2 linked regions of the Callithrix jacchus genome follow. The protein of the gene in region 2 interacts with the protein of the main gene of each other region in a biochemical or structural test. Links are inferred from orthologs where the notes say so. Each region holds a gene or a part of one and is shown on either strand. Other genes may lie near its edges.

What was found.
Region 1: the proteins of RXFP3 (region 2) and RLN3 form a complex in vitro, tested with the Homo sapiens proteins (2 studies listed by BioGRID, with this or other methods). The link is inferred for Callithrix jacchus from reciprocal best matches to the Homo sapiens genes RXFP3 and RLN3.

What each region holds. Positions count from the first base shown.
Region 1 is NC_133523.1:12,808,130-12,812,578, reverse strand, and holds the start of RLN3 (relaxin-3), read right to left. Parts: upstream 2,836-4,449; 5' UTR 2,669-2,835; coding exon 2,479-2,668; intron 1-2,478. UniProt on the Homo sapiens protein: May play a role in neuropeptide signaling processes. Ligand for LGR7, RXFP3 and RXFP4.
Region 2 is NC_133503.1:171,375,832-171,380,340, forward strand, and holds the start of RXFP3 (relaxin-3 receptor 1), read right to left. Parts: upstream 2,843-4,509; 5' UTR 2,233-2,842; coding exon 823-2,232; 3' UTR 1-822. UniProt on the Homo sapiens protein: Receptor for RNL3/relaxin-3. Binding of the ligand inhibit cAMP accumulation.

The sequences.
Region 1 (4,449 bases), on a different chromosome or scaffold from region 2:
CCATGTTGGCCAGGCTGGTCTCAAACTCCTGACCTCCAGTTATCCACCTGCCTCAGCCTCCCAAAGTGCTGGGATTACAGGTGTGAGCCACTGCGCCCGGCCTCCCTTACTCTTTGTTAATTGAGGACCTGGTACATTTGGGAGCTGGGCTGGCCGAGCATGAATCCAGCCTCTCCAAGCCACAATCTTAGGAAGTGAATTTACTTCTTGGAGCCTCAGTTTTCTTTTTTGCAAAGTGGAAAAAAATAATTACTCCAAACTTCTCAAGCTTTATAAGGAGTAAATGAGTTAATATCGATTTTTTTTAAAACTTAGAACAATGAGGCATGACAAGCACTCAAAAATGATTCTTTAGGCCAGGCACAGTGGCTCACACTTGTAATCCCAGCACTTCAGGGCCCCAGGCAGGGGAATCACTAGAGCCAAGAGTTCAAGAACAGCCGGGGCAACACAGCACTACCCTGTCTCTACAAATAATAAAAAGTTGGACATGGTGGTGCAAGCCTGTAGTCCCAGGTACTCAGGAGGCTGAGGCAGGAGAATTGCTTGAGCCCAAGAGGTGGAGGCTGTGAGGCTGCAGTGAGCTGTGATCACGCCACTGGACTCCAGCCTGGGCAACAGAGCAAGGCTCTGTCTAAAAAAAAAAAAAGATAATTACAATGTATTGAGCACTTACTGTGTGTCAAACAACATTTTAAGTGCTTCGGCACGTTAATTTCTTTATTCCTCTCAATGAAACCAGATGAGGTGGGTGCAGTTATTATCACTCCGATTTTCCAGAGGAGACCATGAAGGCAGGACTTAGTAAAGAATTTGCATGACCAGGTACAGTGGCTCATGCCTGTAATCACAGCACTTTGGGAGGCTGAGGTGGATGGATCACCTGAGGTCAGGAGTTCGAGACCAGCCTGGCCAACATGGTAAAACACCATCTCTACTAAAAATACAAAAATTATCGAGGTGTGGTGGCACAAGCCTGTAATCCAAGCTACTTGGGAGGCTGAAGCACGAGAATCGCGTGAACCCAGGAAATGGGGGTTATAGTGAGCTGAGATCGCACCACTGCACTCCAGCCTGGATGACAGAGTGAGACTCTGTCTCAAAAAAAAAAAAAATTGCACAGGAACACATAGCTATTATGTTGTAAAGCTACTATCCAAATCCAAGTGGTGTGTCTGCTAGGTCCACGCTCTTTCCTACCCTCCTCACCGTCATGAATAGCTATTGATTTGCCAGGCTCCTGCCCCTCATGAAGCTAGGTCTCCTCTTCTCCCGGCTCTCCTGATACCTCCCAGACTGTGCCTCTACCCTGCTTAGACTCTGCCCTAATCTGCTCTGACGTAGTCATCCACTCAATCCTGCAAGGTTCAGGAACTGTGTCTCCCATTCAAGGATACACTCAGAGACTCTAATCTCAGCACTTAGGGAGGCCAAGGTGGAACAATCACTAGCGCCCAGGAGTTCGAGACCAGCCTAGGCCACATAGTGAGACCCCCCTGTTTCTTTTTTTTTCTTTTTCTTTTATTTTCTTTTTGAGACAGAGTCTTGCTCTGTCACCAGGTTGGAGTGCAGTGGCATGATCTCGGCTCACTGCAACCTCTGCCTCCCGGGTTCAAAGGATTCTCCTGCCTCAGCCTCTTGAGTAGCTGGGACTACAGGTGCCCGCCACCATGCCCAGCTAATGTTTGTATGTTTAGTAGAGACAAGGTTTCACCATGTTGGCCAGGATAGTCTCAATCTTTTCACCTTGTGATCCACCCGCCTCGGCCTCTCAAAGTGCTAGGATTACAGGTATGAGTCACTGCGCCCCACCTTGAGACCCCTGTTTCTACAAAAAAAAAAAAAAAAAAAAAATTCTAAAAATGATCCAGGTGTGGTGTCAGGTGCCTGTGGTCTTCACTACTCTGGAGGCTACGGCAGGAGGATCTCTTGAGCCTGAGAGGTTGAGGCTACAGTGAGCAGTGATTGGGTCACTGCATTCCAGCCTGGGCAATAGAGTGAGATCACATCTCAAAAAAAAAAAGACCCTCGGAGATGGGAGGAAAAACCAACTTGTGGGGAGGGTCACGCATTAGGTGGCAAAATCCGGCTATGTGTGTACCACACGCTTCACATGACCTGCTGGAAAGGGTTGAGCGTTGTCCTTGTGAATGGCGCTCTCCCCACTCTCACCTCTGGAGCATACAGGCAGCAGCTTTGCTTTGCACAGGGCTTGGTTGGCAAATAGCAGGTGCTCAGAAAGGAGTAGACCGTCCTCCGACTTACAGCCCTCATGCATGGCTTGCAACCCCCCATCCCAGCTCTGCAGCTCTGCTAACTCCTGAGCCGTTGTTTCAAGGCTGGGCAGGTGTCCCTAGCTGGATGTGGCAGGGCGGGGACCCTCCTCCTCCAGCAACCTCCTCTCATCTCGGTCCTTAGCTCCTGGGACCCATCCGGGCACCCGTTCCCCGCCTACATCCTCTTTTCCCCCAGCCTCACCCATAGCTTTCCGGGCCAGGATGTCCGATCGCCTCCACCGGGAGCCCCCACAGGTGAAGATGACTGCTCGGATGAACTCTCGGCCGCAGAGTTTCACTCCATAAGGTGCTGCCCGGGCCTCGGTCCCCGGCCACAACTCCCCGGTCAGCACCCACATCGCCAGGAGCAGCAGCAGCCTGTACCTGGCCATGCTGGATGGACAGAGACGCCTTGGATTCAAGAGTGGGCCAGTGTCTCCACTGCCTCCTGGCCCCCCATTTATACATCGTGGCTCCCCCCAACACTGCCTGATGAAAGCTGAGTGCCTCCCTTATCTTTCCCAGCAGAGGGGAGACAGGCACAGCCCCCCCAACCCGACCTTTCTCATGTCCCCAACGAAGTGATAACCTTTCTCAAGGGACAGGGTGACGTGGCCCAGCTCACTGTCATCATCATCGACAGAGAGGCTAGAAGGCTTTGATTCTGCAGAGACCAGAAACGCATAATCCCAATGGGCCGGGTAGGAAAACACAAACAGACGCCCGCAACGTTAGAATCCTGGACCTCTTCAAAGGGAATAATAACAACAATAACAGTGAATGGATGTGCTGCGGGGCCAGGCACACTGCTCTGAGCATTTTATTTATTTATTTATTTTTGAGACAGAGTCTCGCTCTGTCTCCCAGGCTGGAGTACAATGGCGCGGGCTCGGCTCACTGCAACCTCCACCTCCCAGGTTCAAACGATTCTCCTGTCTCACCCTCCCCAGTAGCTGGGATTACAGGCGTGTGCCACCACACCCAGCTAATTTTTTGTATTTTTAGTAGACATGAGGTTTCACCATGCTGGCCAGGCTGGTCTCGAACTCCTGACCTCTGGATCTGACTGCTTCGGCCTCCCAAGTACGGGGATTCCAGGCATGAGCTACCGCACCCAGCCTATTTGTTTTTGAAACAGAGTCTCGCTCCGTCACCCAGGCGAGATAACAGTCCCAATGGCATGATCTCAGCTCACTGCAACCTCTGCCTCCCAGGTTCAAGCAATTCTCCTGCCTCAGACTCCCAAGTAGCTGGGATTATAGGAACCTACCACACACCTGGTTAATTTCTGTATTTTTAGTAGAGATGGGGTTTCATCATATTGGCCAGGCTGGTCTCAAACTCTTGACTTCGGGTGATCTGCCTGCCTCGGCCTCCCACAGTGCTGGGATTACAGATGTGAGCCACCATGCCCAGATGTTCAAAGCATTTTATATCTGTGTAATGTCTTTAATTCTCCCAACAACCCAAGGCAATGGTTCTCAAATGTGAGTGAGCTTCAGAACCTTCAGGTGGGCTTGTTAAAATGGCGATCAGGCCGGGCATAGTGGCTCACACCTGTAATCCCAGCTTTGGGAGGCCGAGGCAGGCAAATCATCTGAGGTCAGGAGTTCGAGACCAGCCTGGCCAACATGGTGAACCTGCCCCCATCTCTACTAAAAATACAAAAAATGAGCCAGGTGTGTGTCTCATGTTTGTGTCTGTAGTCTCAGCTCTTCGGGAAGCTGAGGCACAAGAATTGCTTCAATTTAGGAGATGGAGATTGCAGTGAGCTGAGATGGTGCCACTGCACTTCAGCCTGGGTGACAAACTGAGACTCTGTGTCAAAAACAACCAAAAAAACACAGATCTTTGTGTCCTACTTGAAGCGTGCTGGACTCAACAGGTTTGGAACATATCTAAGAATCTGCATTTCTGGCCGGGTGCGGTCGCTCGTGTCTGTAATCCCAGCTACTCGGGAGGCTGAGGCAGGAGAATCACTTGAACCCGGGAGGCAGAGGTTACAGTGAGCTGAGATCGTGCCACTGCACTCCAGCCTGGGACACCTCGTCCAGCCCAGAAACCACACTTTTAAGAGCACGGGGTTATGAAATCAGGACTAAGATGATTCCCATATTAAGAATGAGGAAATGGAGGCGCTGAAAGGGGACCTGAGGCAGGAGATCCCAACTTT
Region 2 (4,509 bases):
AAGAAGTTTCCCTATTTAGCCCTTCTAATCACACTGTGTCCGCTCCCTCCGGCAGTGATGCCACTCCCCAGAGAATCGCTCTCCCAAGTTCGTGACAGGTGTTATCCCCTGTTAACGTTTGCGCTCCCGGGCTTTGCAGCTAGATCTGGCTTAGCACGTTCCTGCTAGCCCAGTCCGGAATGACAATCGATACAATGACTCCATGCTAGCCCCGTCCGGAATGACAATCGGTACAATGGCTCCATGGGAGGTGACTTTCCTTTGCCATTTGTCCTGGGGACGGACCATAAGGGTTAGTTCTTTTTCTTAACTTCAAAAACGTTTCTTGCCTCCAAACTCAATATTCCTGGGGCAGCCCGGCAGCAAGCAGAACCTTAGCGCTGCTGCAGTCTAGTTAACCAAGTAGCAAAGGAGAGTTTGCCGCAGAAGTCGCTGGAATAAACGGGCACAATTGTCTGCGCATCATTTGATTAAGCTCCGCTCCCTGTGCCAATTTCTTTACATTTTTGCTGCTTCTCTCTGCTTCTGGGCGACCCCACACTGCCCAGCGTGGGCAAAGTAAGGAGAGGCTGTGGGGTGTGGAACCGAGGTTGAAGGTCCGGCCCGTGGGGCTCGTCTCTGCCCCTTTGCCAGCTTCCTCTCTCCACCTGATTTCAAAGCATGCCCTCTCCAGGAAAGGTTCTCCGGCCTATACACAGGCTGCTCATCCTCCTCTCACCTACTTCTTGAATGTCCCCCCTCCCCCACGCAGCCTTCCTTAATCTGTTCACCTCCTTCACCGCGTGGGGAAGGCCACCTTGCCCCTACAGCGCGCCCTGGACCTCAGTAGGCAGAGCTGCTGGGCAGCAGGTCGCAGCGGCTCCCGCTGTAGACCACGACGCCAGGGGGGTAGTAGAGCAGTTCCGGTTCCGCGGCCACGTGGAGCGGCGCCAAAGCCTGCAGCCCCTGATCCTCGGGTTCCGGCTTGGTAGTGGCAGTGAAGGGGCGCATGCTGGTGAGTGAAGGAGACGCGATTCGCCACAGCAGGCTCTTGAGCGCTTTGCGGAACTCGCGGCGCACAAGGCAGTAGAGGATGGGGTTGAGGCAGCTGTTGGAGTGCGCCAGGCACACGCTCACAGGGAACGCGTATACCTGGCACAGGAAATACTCCTGGCTGAAGGGCACGGCGTTGAACTTGATGAGGATGCTCCAGGTGGTGAGCGCCTGGTTGGGCAGCCAACACAGGAAGAAGGACAGGACAACGAAGGTCACTGACTTCGTGACTTTCGACCGTCTCCGAGCACTGGCTCCGGCCGGGCCTCCGCCAGCTACTGCGGTCCCTCTTTCAGTACCCGCCACGCGGCGGTCGGAGATGAAGCGCACCAGCAGCAGGTAGCACAAGCTAATGATAGCCAGCGGCAGCACGAACCCCAGCAACACCTTTTGCGAATGGTAGAGGCCCAGCCAGAACTGCCTATCGCGGCCCAGCAACTTGTCGGGGAAGCGCACCAGGCACAGCTCTTCGCCCATCACCTTGACCGTGGTGGAGAAAATGGCACTGGGCAGAGAGGCCAGCGCGGACGAAGCCCAGATCCACAGGCACAGCGCCTTGGCGGAGACGCAGCAGCTGTTCCCCAGGCTCCGGCCGCAGCAGTCGCCCCGGCCGTGTCCTCGGGTCCGGTGGCTCTTTAGAGCCGAGGCCACAGAGTGGTAGCGCGCCATACTCATGGCAGTGAGAAAGAAGACGCTGGCGTACATATTCATGGACGTCACCATGGACACGATCTTACACATGGCCTTGCCAAAGGGCCATTTGAAGTCAAGTGCGTTCTCCACCGCCCAGAAAGGCAGGGTGAGCACAAATTGAAAGTCCGTCAGTGCCAGGTTGGTGACGAAGAGGTTGATAGAGGATTTGCGCCAGCCCTGCTTGCTCTTCATCAGGTAGAGGACCAGCAGGTTGCCCGCCAACCCCAGGGCGCACACCACCCAGTACACCACGCTGATGAGGATCCGCACCCGGGCCTCGGTGTCCGAACTCTCTGCCCCGCCGCTGCCAGGGGGATGTCCTGGCGCCGCGCCGTCCGGCAACTCCAGCCCCAGCTCCCACCACAAGTCCCCAAGCTGTACCGACGCGTTACCACTCGTGTTGGCCGCCTCCAGAAGGTCCGGGACCAGACTGACGAGTTCTGCTAGCCTGTCCCCGCCTCCTGCCTTATTCATGGTGGCTATCGGGGCTGCATCGACCATCTGCATGCGCAGGTACCTCTAGGTCATGTTCCGGAGGACAAGACCTAAGAGAACACGGTTCGCCCTGTTTTGTTCCCAGTCTAGCTAGCCTGCGGGGCGTGCGCGGGAGCTTTCAAAGTAGCTGCTGAAGATAGAGCTCAGGAACTGGGTACTCAGCGAGTCCTGGCGCACAGCGAACCAACCGCCTTGGACTCAGAAGTTGAGCTCCGCGGTTGCTTTGGAGCAGAGTTGAGGAGCGCAGTCCCAAAGGCAAGTACTGGGCATCCAAGGGTTCTCAGGCCAAGCTTGGAGTCCCTAGATTCTTATATACAACGCAGACTTCCCCTCTCCGTGTCCCACGGTCACTGAGGCACTGGCGCATAACTCACCCAGCCGCTTAACCGTGCGATTTGGGGCCGCTCGCTCTCTTTCAAATACCTTTGGCTGTTTCCTCTGGGACTGCTTAGACGAGGTTTCCGTCCTTGGAAAGAAAGAGATCCTAGGGTTCTGTCCACCTCGCTCTGCTGCCCGGAGGTCAGTGGGTGTCTGCATCTCTCCGCGGTTGTCAACTCCGGGTGGGTTGCCAGCGGCGCCCACCAGTTGCAGTGGCACTTGCACGGCCGCGGCGGCGAACCTCAAGGAGCATGCGTAATCCCGTGGCGCCGGGAGAGGCGCTTTCCGAGGTGCTGAACCAAGCCGCGGCCGCGCCGCGAGGGAGCGCTGGGCTGCCGGCAAAGCCCACACGCCAGCTTCCATTTTCCTCCCCAAAATTTCAGCAGGAAACAGTCTTAACCCTTTATTTTACACCTGCAGGAGAAAGTGGGCTTTGACATGCGTTTCCTCTTTCTTTCTTATTTCCAAACATTATTATTAGAAGGGTTTTTTTTTCTTCCTTCCTCACTCCCACTTTATCACTGAAATTATTCCATTTGGTGAGGAATGGTTCTAAAAATATGTGATATCCTGCTTATTTTCCTTCCTAAAAGTAATGACAGTGATCTTTTTTCATGCTTAAGTTAGACGATGTGTTCTTATTGGATACATAAAGGACAGCTCCACCTCCTCTCTTTAATTAGCGGATCACTTATGTGGTGTCTGTGATTGTCAGGATGTTCAAAGGGGCTTCTTCACAGGGTTCAGGGGTTGCCCCTACTTTAATGTATTCTGAGACGTGACACAAAAACAGAGCAAATAAGTGGTGGGCCTACATCACAGTAATTAAATGCCCTAGGCCCAAAGCGCTTCAACAAATTGTTTGATCACATACAGCCATGGTCTCTTTACCTACATGCAGATAGAACAGAGGATACCACTGGGCTGATCGTGAACCCTCAGCCCCCCTATTTCCCCTAGGGTTAGTATCAGAACTCTTTTTCAGGTGGTTTTCAGACCAATGGAAGTATATTCTAAGGACTTTTCCAAGGGAATGAATGAAAAGCATTTGTATTGCTTCTCAAGATGCAGTCTACATAAATGCCGGGTCAATTGCTCTGGTGTAAATTACACTTCTAAGGATTTACTTTAAAAATTTGAAATGTTTTTCTCTGGGTCTAGGACTAAACTGAAACAAAAGCATCTTAAGCATAATTGTCCTCACCTCTGGAGCACTACAGAACTCCCATCTTTAGCGATAAAGAGAATCCAACCTTCAAGATGAGGAGATAAGAAACACTTAGAAAAAAGCAAAGAAAAAGAAAGAAAGAAAAAAGGAAAGAGAGAAAAGGAAACAAGAAACAAGAAAAAAGAAAACAGGAACAATCTTGATTCCAAAGGACATTTAACCCCGAAGAGCACACACCCTGTAAGGATATTGTCCTGCTCTGTCTGCCCACTAGAGGGAGGCTGGGCTTTAGTAAAAACCTTGCCGAACACCAACCATTTCCTTTGATCAGTTCTTTTCTGGAGCAGATCACCCCCGCCGTGAGGATTCCTCCCAAAGCACAGGTTGTTTCTGTGGACGACTCTTATCTTGGTTTTAGTAACCTCACTTTCATGCTCAGTTTTGACTTTATTTTTAACCATTTATTTCCTCATCAAATTTCTCCCTCTCTTCACCTCTGTCTCTATTTCTCTTTCTTTTCGAATATCTCAAGGGGCTATTGAAATACAGGAAAAGCTAACGCATACCCTGAAAGCTCTCTGCTGTTAAATTTTTGGTTACGTTCACAGCAATGACTTCCATTCCACACACACAGCTGCCTCTCAGTGCTTCTAAGCACACTCAGGAATAGATAGATCTACTTGATCCACTCTGAATCACATGTACATATTTATACTTTATGAAAAAATTATAGGTGCCTGACT